Oryctolagus cuniculus: one gene and its partner. The protein of the gene in region 1 interacts with the protein of each later gene in a biochemical or structural test. Links are inferred from orthologs where the notes say so. Each region holds a gene or a part of one and is shown on either strand. Other genes may lie near its edges. The genes, in order: ARIH2 and CKB.

Evidence for each region.
Region 2: of the proteins of ARIH2 (region 1) and CKB, one has a biochemical effect on the other in vitro, tested with the Homo sapiens proteins (2 studies listed by BioGRID). The link is inferred for Oryctolagus cuniculus from reciprocal best matches to the Homo sapiens genes ARIH2 and CKB.

The regions. Positions count from the first base shown.
Region 1 is NC_091441.1:100,171,742-100,175,539, reverse strand, and holds part of ARIH2 (E3 ubiquitin-protein ligase ARIH2), read left to right. Parts: intron 1-1,541; coding exon 1,542-1,693; intron 1,694-2,635; coding exon 2,636-2,779; intron 2,780-3,721; coding exon of another isoform or gene 3,722-3,747; coding exon 3,748-3,798.
Region 2 is NC_091451.1:46,359,598-46,364,101, reverse strand, and holds CKB (creatine kinase B-type), read left to right. Parts: upstream 1-1,431; 5' UTR 1,432-1,589; intron 1,590-1,844; 5' UTR 1,845-1,862; coding exon 1,863-2,055; intron 2,056-2,144; coding exon 2,145-2,299; intron 2,300-2,375; coding exon 2,376-2,508; intron 2,509-2,683; coding exon 2,684-2,855; intron 2,856-3,331; coding exon 3,332-3,455; intron 3,456-3,556; coding exon 3,557-3,746; intron 3,747-3,822; coding exon 3,823-4,001; 3' UTR 4,002-4,193; downstream 4,194-4,504. UniProt on the Homo sapiens protein: Reversibly catalyzes the transfer of phosphate between ATP and various phosphogens (e.g. creatine phosphate).

The DNA of each region.
Region 1 (3,798 bases):
ACCAGGAGCCCTCTGTAATCAGGGTGGATGTGGTAAGGTCTAGACAGGAACAGTGACTGAAGTATAGAACAAAGATGGGCCAAGAGTAATGGCGTATTTCCTCTCTCTTTCTAGGTGTGTGAGTGAGAGAGACAGTGTATAATTCACACACAGAGTTTAAAGAAGGGTGGGCCCAGGACCCAGCACATTGCTGATTTCTAAGAAGCTCCCTGTGTGCCTCTCCCCAGTCAGCCTCCCCATCCCTCAAGACTCTGAGTTAACTACAGATCTTTGCTTTGCTGTGTAATTAATTATACTGCTTATAGGAGCAACCCTAGCCAATGCGGTATTTGAAACAGTAGCAAGCACAAGTTGCCAGGGAGAGGGCAGTATTGCCGCTGTTAGATGAAGGCTCCCAGGAGAAGTTGAACAGCCTTTGGGTCTCTGGGTTTGGCTTTAGCTTCCCTACAGCTTGACAAGAGCCTAAGCAGAGTTTACCTACCACTGTCAGGGGCTCTGCAGACAGGACATCATCTACATTATTGGACATACAAATGAACTGTGGTTGACCCTGCTCCGTTAGGCTGTAGTAATTCCTGGGATGTACGGCATCCATAAGGGTATCTTAAATTTTTCCTTTTTGCTTCCTTAGTTTGGAAGCAGAGTCATGCACCTCCCCACCTGCCCTTCCTCTCCCCTTTTCTCTCCCTCCCTCCCTTGCCCGTCTCTGTGCCTTTTAATAAATAAATAAATAAATCTTCTTTAAAAAAAAAAAATGAAGGGAGGTGCTGGCATTGAGGTGCCGTGGGTTAAGTCACCACTTGCAGTGCTGGCATCCCATATGGCTGTGGATTCAAGTCCCACTTGCTCCACTTCCAATCGAGCTCCCTGCTCATGTGCCTGGGAAAGCAGCAGAAGGTGGCCCAAATACTTGGACTCCTTCTACCCACATAGGAGACCCAGATGGAGTTTTGGTCTCCTGGCTTCAGGCTAGTCAAGCCCCTGCCATTTGGAACGTGAACCAACTAATGGAAGATATTCTCTCTCTCTCTCTCCCATCTGCCCCCCGCCCCCCACTTCCTCCTATAACACTGCCTTTTAAATAAATAAATCTTAAAAAAAAAAAAAAAAAAAAAAAGAAGAGGACCAGCTTCACATACAAACATCTTCCTAGGTCAAGTGTTAGGAAGATGAGAGATAGGATATACAGATGGTGTGTGTTGTAGCCAACCAGGTGGGCTTCAGTTGGACAAATTTCTGCTTCTTATAGTGGTACTGACACAGCAGGCCCGTGGTCCTTGTATAGTCTGCACCTACCTATGTTGAAATTAATAGACACAGAGCGCATGTGCTCATGGAATGGTGAATATCCATAAGCTGTCATATCAGCAAGGACAGGCCTCAGGGATAATGCGAGGTAATGTTCCCTCTGGAAAGAGGCAGCCAGGATGTTCTAGTCAGGTGATACCTCCGGGTCTGTCCATCCCACTGCTTTGCCAGTGCCTTGGAGGGATGTGGGTTTGTCTTACGGCTATAAGTGACTCTCCCTTTGTTCTGTGCAGACTTCTGCTGGATGTGTCTAGGAGACTGGAAGACTCATGGCAGTGAATACTATGAGTGCAGTCGGTACAAGGAGAATCCTGACATTGTCAACCAAAGCCAGCAAGCCCAGGCCAGGGAGGCCCTCAAGAAGTACTTGTTCTACTTTGAGAGGGTAGGCGTCTTTTCCTGTGCCCATCCCACCAGGGTGGGCTTCTGTGGTTAGCCTACCTGGGTGGGCTGACTGGGCTGACTGGTAGCCAGAGCCAGCCTGTGCATAGAGAACGCAGTGAATGAAGCTCCTGCCAGTAGCCCTGGTGCTACCTCTACACCTGTGCCTTTTAGGCTCTACTGGGTAGCCACAGCTGGAGAGGGACAGGGAACTGACCTCAGTTAACGATGGATGAAAGGATAATGAAGACTCATTAGACAGTTTTCATTCCAGTGCTTTTAAAAAAAATTATTTATTTATATTTAAAATAGAGAAAGAGAGATCTTCCAACTGCTGATTTACACCCCAGATGCCTACAACGACTAGGGCTGAGCCAGGCCAAAGCTAGGAGCTTTATCCTAGGTCTCCCCTGTGGGTGAAGGGGCACGAGCACTTGGGCCATCTTCCACTGCTTTCCCAGGCCACAGCAGGGAGCTGAAATGGAAGTGGAGCAGCCAGGGCATGAACTGGTGCCCATAGAATGGCAGCCTAACCCACTGCGCCGCAACACTGGCCCTCCAGTGCCTTCTTAGTGGTCAGAATTAGGGAATGGTTTCCCCCAGGGAGACCCTTCAGAAGTCAGAGTATGACAGTTGGTCCCTAAGCACAGTAGACTAGTGGGGGCCCCCGCTTTGCTTGGCTGTCAGGGCCAGAGTCCCGTTTCCCCAGCGGGATGGAGTACTTGGGCAGGCAGAGAGCTGTTCTGAGGGTTTACTGAAACTGTTCTCGTGGGTGCACTGAAAGCAAGCCCTTCCTGCACTGTGGAGGCCACACACACTCCCCGTAAGTTCAAGGAGTCTGTCGTCATGCCCTGCCAGCCAAAGGTGTGTCCTGAGTGTGTGGACCTGTGGACTTGTGGACCTCCTGGGATTCCTGCAGCTTTCTCCTTCTCTCTGTGCCCTCTAGTGGGAAAACCACAACAAAAGCTTGCAGCTAGAGGCGCAGACATACCAGCGGATTCATGAAAAGATTCAAGAGAGGGTTATGAATAACCTGGGGACGTGGATCGACTGGCAGTATCTACAGAACGCTGCCAAGCTCTTGGCCAAGGTATCTACCACCTCACTCTTGGATCCCCTCTCCAGTGCCTGGCCCCCATCAGGGCACACCTCTGAGGGTGGGAGGTCTTGTGGGGAGTGGGAGTCGTTAGCACCCTGCACAGCCTAATGTGCTTCTGCTGACAGACCCACATTTCCTTGTGCTGGGCCCTTGAGGGACTCAGTCCTTTGATGGAAGTCAGAGGCTTTTTTTTTTTTTTTTTTTTTGACAGGCAGAGTGGACAGTGAGAGAGAGAGACAGAGAGGAAGGTCTTCCTTTGCCGTTGGTTCACCCTCCAATGGCCGCCACGGCTGGCGTGCTGCAGCCGGCGCACTGCGCTGATCCGATGGCAGGAGCCAGGAGCTTTTCCTGGTCTCCCATGGGGTGCAGGGCCCAAGCACTTGGGCCATCCTCCACTGCACTCGCTGGCCACAGCAGAGAGCTGGCCTGGAAGAGGGGCAACCAGGACAGAATCCGGCGCCCCGACCGGGACTAGAACCCGGTGTGCCAGCGCCGCAAGGCGGAGGATTAGCCTAGTGAGCCGCGGCGCCGGCCCCAGAGGCTTTCTAAGAATAGTGTTCTGCTGCCTCTGCCTGCAGGGAAAACTAGAATCCCCTTCCTCTCCCTTTGTCCCATCTCTGCGTCGTGCAAAGGAAAATGAAAAGATAGTCTTCGGACAAATATTGAGATAGATATGTGGACTCTGATGTCCAACCCAAGAAGGAGAAGTCACTGAGGCAGTGCTGGTAATAAATCACAGTTTGAAAAAGGAAAGGTGGGTGTCCTGTGATCAGTTCTGTTCTGCTTTCCCCATGTCTTGCCCCAGTCCATCTTCTCCTTGGCTTGGCTCTGATTCTTTGAAGCCCAGACCTGTAGAGCCAGGTTAATCTGCATGGTGGGGCAAGAGTTTTCAGAGCCACCTGAGGTAGAGGTAGGTTAGAATCACAGACACAGGTCCCTTCTCTTCTCTCCTGCTGCAGTGTCGGTACACTCTGCAATACACCTATCCCTATGCGTACTACATGGAGTCT
Region 2 (4,504 bases), on another chromosome or scaffold:
TGGGGGAGGGGGGAGGCAGGAATTCCCTCGGCAGCGGCCGAGGGCCGGGACCTGGGCCGGGGACACCACACCCTCCAGGGCTCACTCTGCCAGAGGCCGACCCGCTCTCCTGTGCTCTGCACCTGTGCACCTGCCGCGGCTCCAGGGCCCTCCCTTCAGGGACTCCTCCTCAGTGCCCCTCAAGCCTGGGCTGCTGCGCTGGCCGGGGGGCTGCCCGGGCACCCCAGTGCACCCCGACGCGGACTCACGGTCGCCCTCCAGCAGCAGGGCTGTGCCCTTTCTCCCGGTGCTGCCCACGTGGTCCCCAGCACCTGGCACCCCTCAGGTGCTCAGGCACAGCTGTGTGTGGAGGAGGGGTTGTAAAAGCAGGCAGATACGGGCTCCTACGCCGTGAAGGAGGGACAGGATGCCTCCGCTCGCCTGACGCCTGATACTCCTCCCAGGCAGATGCCCGAGACCCTGGCCAGCCCCGAGGGTGGCACCAGGGTCTACCCGGTCTCTTCTCCGATTTCACTCCCACTCCCGCGTCACCTGGTCCGCTTGCGGAGAGCCCGGAGGCTGTCCTCGGGGTGGCTGCGTTCCTAGAAGTGGGCTGGCTGGGTCACAGAGTTCGAACATGTTTTGTTTTCACGGACACTGCCAAGTTACTCTCCAAAAAGGATGCCGGGGGCAGGAAGTGGAACTGGCCCCCACCTGGGGTTGGTGTGTCTCCTGGATTTCCCCAGCCTGGGTGGGTGGTTTTATTTCCGGGATTCCGACTTAGTGAGGCTTCCTCAGCCTCCCGCGGCCGGCTTCCTCCCCACCTTAGCCCAGCGCCTCTGGGCCGCCTTGCGGGTGGGGTGCTGGGAAGCCGTGCCCGGTGCGGAGGCCCCGGGGCGAGTGCCCTCTCCTAGGAGGAAGTGGGCCCCTGGGTCTCCTCCGGTTCGATGGAGCCCATGGACTCGCCCAAGGTCGGCCCCCGCGGCGCCGCGGGGTTGGGCCGCAGCCAGCTCGCCCCTCCCGCGCCTAGCGCTGCACCCGATCGCCCGGGAGACGCCCGCAGGCACCTTGAGGAAGGTCGGCGGCTCCGGGCCGCTGGGCCGGGCCGGGCCGGGGGCAGCACTGGCTGCGGAAGCCGCGGACGCTTTCGCTCGGCCCCTCGCCGCCAACCTCGGGGACTGGCGGGGATGAGAAAAGGCGGGAGTGGGGTGGGCAAGGACCCCAGCGTCCTCCAGCGCCCGGTGGTTCTCGGGCCTCAGTTTCCCCGGCCGATACAGTGAGTGCGCGAGGGGGAGAGGCCCAAGATGTCCAAGAACCGGGGTCCCGCGCCGGGGATCCCAGGCGGGAGCCGGCGGGGTGGCCGGGTAGCGCGGGGTCCCGGCGAGGGCATAGCAGAGGGGGGCTGTCCGGGGTGTCGGGGGCTGCAGGCGACGGACAAAGCCCCGGCACCTCCCCGCTGCTCGGGCCAATGGAATGAATGGGCTATAAATAGCGGCCAATGGGCGGCCCGCATCGCGCCCCTTAAGAGCCTCGGGAGCGCGGAGCCGCCGCTGTTCGCCAGCGCCGCGCCCGGAGCTGCAGACCGAGCCCCCAGCCCGCCCGCCAGCCTGGTGAGGGGCCCGAGGGACGGCTGGGACGGTGGCGTCGCGTGCGGAGGGGCCCCGGGGGCCGCGGCGCCGCCTGGAGAGCGCGGGGGGTCCCGCCAGGGTCCCTGGCGATTGCAGGCGCCTTCCGCGCGCGCTGTGGACCCGCTGACCTTGGCAGCGTCTGGGGGGCTCCGGGGCTTTGGGCCGCGGCGCCGGGAGTGGTTTGCAGGGCCCAGCGGCCGGGGCGCGCGGTGCTAGCTGACCCGCGTCTCCCCGCAGTCCGCCGCTGCCGCCGCCATGCCCTTCTCCAACACCCACAACACGCTGAAGCTGCGCTTCCCGGCCGAGGACGAGTTCCCCGACCTGAGCGCCCACAATAACCACATGGCCAAAGTGCTGACCCCCGAGATGTACGCCGAGCTGCGCGCCAAGAGCACGCCCAGCGGCTTCACGCTGGACGACGTCATCCAGACCGGCGTCGACAACCCGGGTACGCGCATCCCCGGGCCGGGGTCCCCGGCGGCGGCGGCGGCGCGCGCGGGCCTGGCGGTGACGTCTCTGCCTTCCTCCCGCCCCCAGGCCACCCGTTCATCATGACCGTGGGCTGCGTGGCGGGCGACGAGGAGTCCTACGAGGTGTTCAAGGAGCTCTTCGACCCCATCATCGAGGACCGGCACGGCGGCTACAAGCCCAGCGACGAGCACAAGACCGACCTCAACCCCGACAACCTGCAGGTGCGCGCGCGGGCGGCGGGCGGCGGGCGGCGGGCGGGGAGGCATCCCGGCGCTCACTCCTGGCCCCCGCACCCAGGGCGGCGACGACCTGGACCCTAACTACGTGCTGAGCTCGCGGGTGCGCACTGGCCGCAGCATCCGGGGCTTCTGCCTGCCCCCGCACTGCAGCCGCGGCGAGCGCCGCGCCGTCGAGAAGCTGGCGGTGGAAGGTAGGCGCCAGGGGCGGGGGTCAGCCGCACCACCCCTCCCCGCTTATTAACCAGCCACCCGAGCCGCCGCCGCGCCCTTGTCTGCGCCTGCCCGTGTCCGGAGGGGCCGAGGCCCTGAGGCCCTGCCGGGCACCCAGACGGGGCGGGCTCAGCAGTGCGCCGCTGTTGTCCGCAGCGCTGTCCAGCCTGGACGGCGACCTGGCCGGCAGGTACTACGCGCTCAAGAGCATGACCGAGGCGGAGCAGCAGCAGCTCATCGACGACCACTTCCTCTTCGACAAGCCCGTGTCGCCCCTGCTGCTGGCCTCCGGCATGGCCCGCGACTGGCCGGACGCCCGCGGTATTTGGTGAGCGCGTGGCCCCCTGCGCTGCTCGCCACCCCGCTCCCCTCGGGAGTGGGGCGCACAGTGGCCGAGGAGGCCGAGGGAGGGGCCGGGTGCGCCCGGTTTGGTACTGCCTCGGTCCTGCGCAGGTGACCTTGGCCGCGCAGGGTGGACGGAAGCCTCAGCCTCCGTGGGGCGCAGACGAGGGCCCTGGCTCCTTGTTGTCTTGTTTTCCCTACCTCCCTCGCCTGGCTCCCGTTCCCCTCGGGATTCTGGCAGGTGCTGGGTGACGCAGGAGCTTCCTGCCAGTGAGGGCGGAGCCGCCGCCGGGGGCCTCGGCGCTCAGGGAGCAGCGCTTCCCCTGGGTGGGGGATGAGTGCTGCCCCTGCCCCCCACCCTCTGGTCTCCCTGTTTCCCGCAGTGTTGATGGGGCTGGGGTCTCGAGGCAGCCCCTTCCCCGGTGGAGTGGGGGGCTCGCCCTGACGGGGCCTCTCCTCCAGGCACAATGACAACAAGACCTTCCTGGTGTGGATCAACGAGGAGGACCACCTCCGGGTCATCTCCATGCAGAAGGGTGGCAACATGAAGGAGGTGTTCACGCGCTTCTGCAATGGCCTCACCCAGGTCAGCGCCGGGGCCGGGGGCAGGGCAGACCCCAGACCCCAGAGCGCAGGCGCGGGCGTCCTCAGGCCACGTCCTCATGCCCTGTGCTCCACCACCTCCAGATCGAAACGCTCTTCAAGTCTAAGAACTACGAGTTCATGTGGAACCCTCACCTGGGCTACATCCTCACCTGCCCCTCCAACCTGGGCACGGGGCTGCGGGCAGGCGTGCACATCAAGCTGCCCCACCTGGGCCAGCACGAGAAGTTCTCCGAGGTGCTCAAGCGGCTGCGGCTTCAGAAGCGAGGCACAGGTGAGGGGGGCAGAGGCTGCAGGCAGCCCTCTCCCCACGTCCTCCTCTCTCTGACCTGGCTGTCTCCCATGCCCAGGTGGTGTGGACACGGCCGCCGTGGGCGGGGTCTTTGACGTCTCCAACGCCGACCGCCTGGGCTTCTCCGAGGTGGAGCTGGTGCAGATGGTGGTGGACGGCGTGAAGCTGCTCATTGAGATGGAGCAGCGGCTGGAGCAGGGCCAGGCCATCGACGACCTCATGCCTGCCCAGAAGTGAAGCCGGCCCGTGCCTGCCACCAGCCCCGCTTCCTAACTTATTGCCCGGGCAGCGCCCACACGCACCCCGAAGTTCACCCGGCGGCTGAGCCCTTAGCCTCGCTGTAGAGACTTGTGTCGCCCCCGGTAGAGTCTATTTTTTTGATGGCTAAGATGTTGCTGATGCTGAAATAAACCAGGGTTTTGGCCTGCCCTCCGTCTCTGCGTGGTGCCTTCCCTTCAACAGCCAGGCCACAGGGGTCCTGGTTCCGCCTACTGGCCTCCGTTCCTTTTGTTTTTCTTAAAGATTGGAAGGCAGAGTGACAGACAGATATCCACCTGCTAACCCTAACCCTAACCCTCCCCAAATGACCAAAACAGCCAGGGCTAGGCCAGGCCGAAGCCAGGAGTCAAGAACTCCATCCAGGTCTCCCACGTGAGTGGCAGGGCCACAGTACCATGAGTGCCTGGGCCATCATCTGCTGCCTTCCCGGGTGCATCAGGGTGTAGCTGCACGCCCATGGG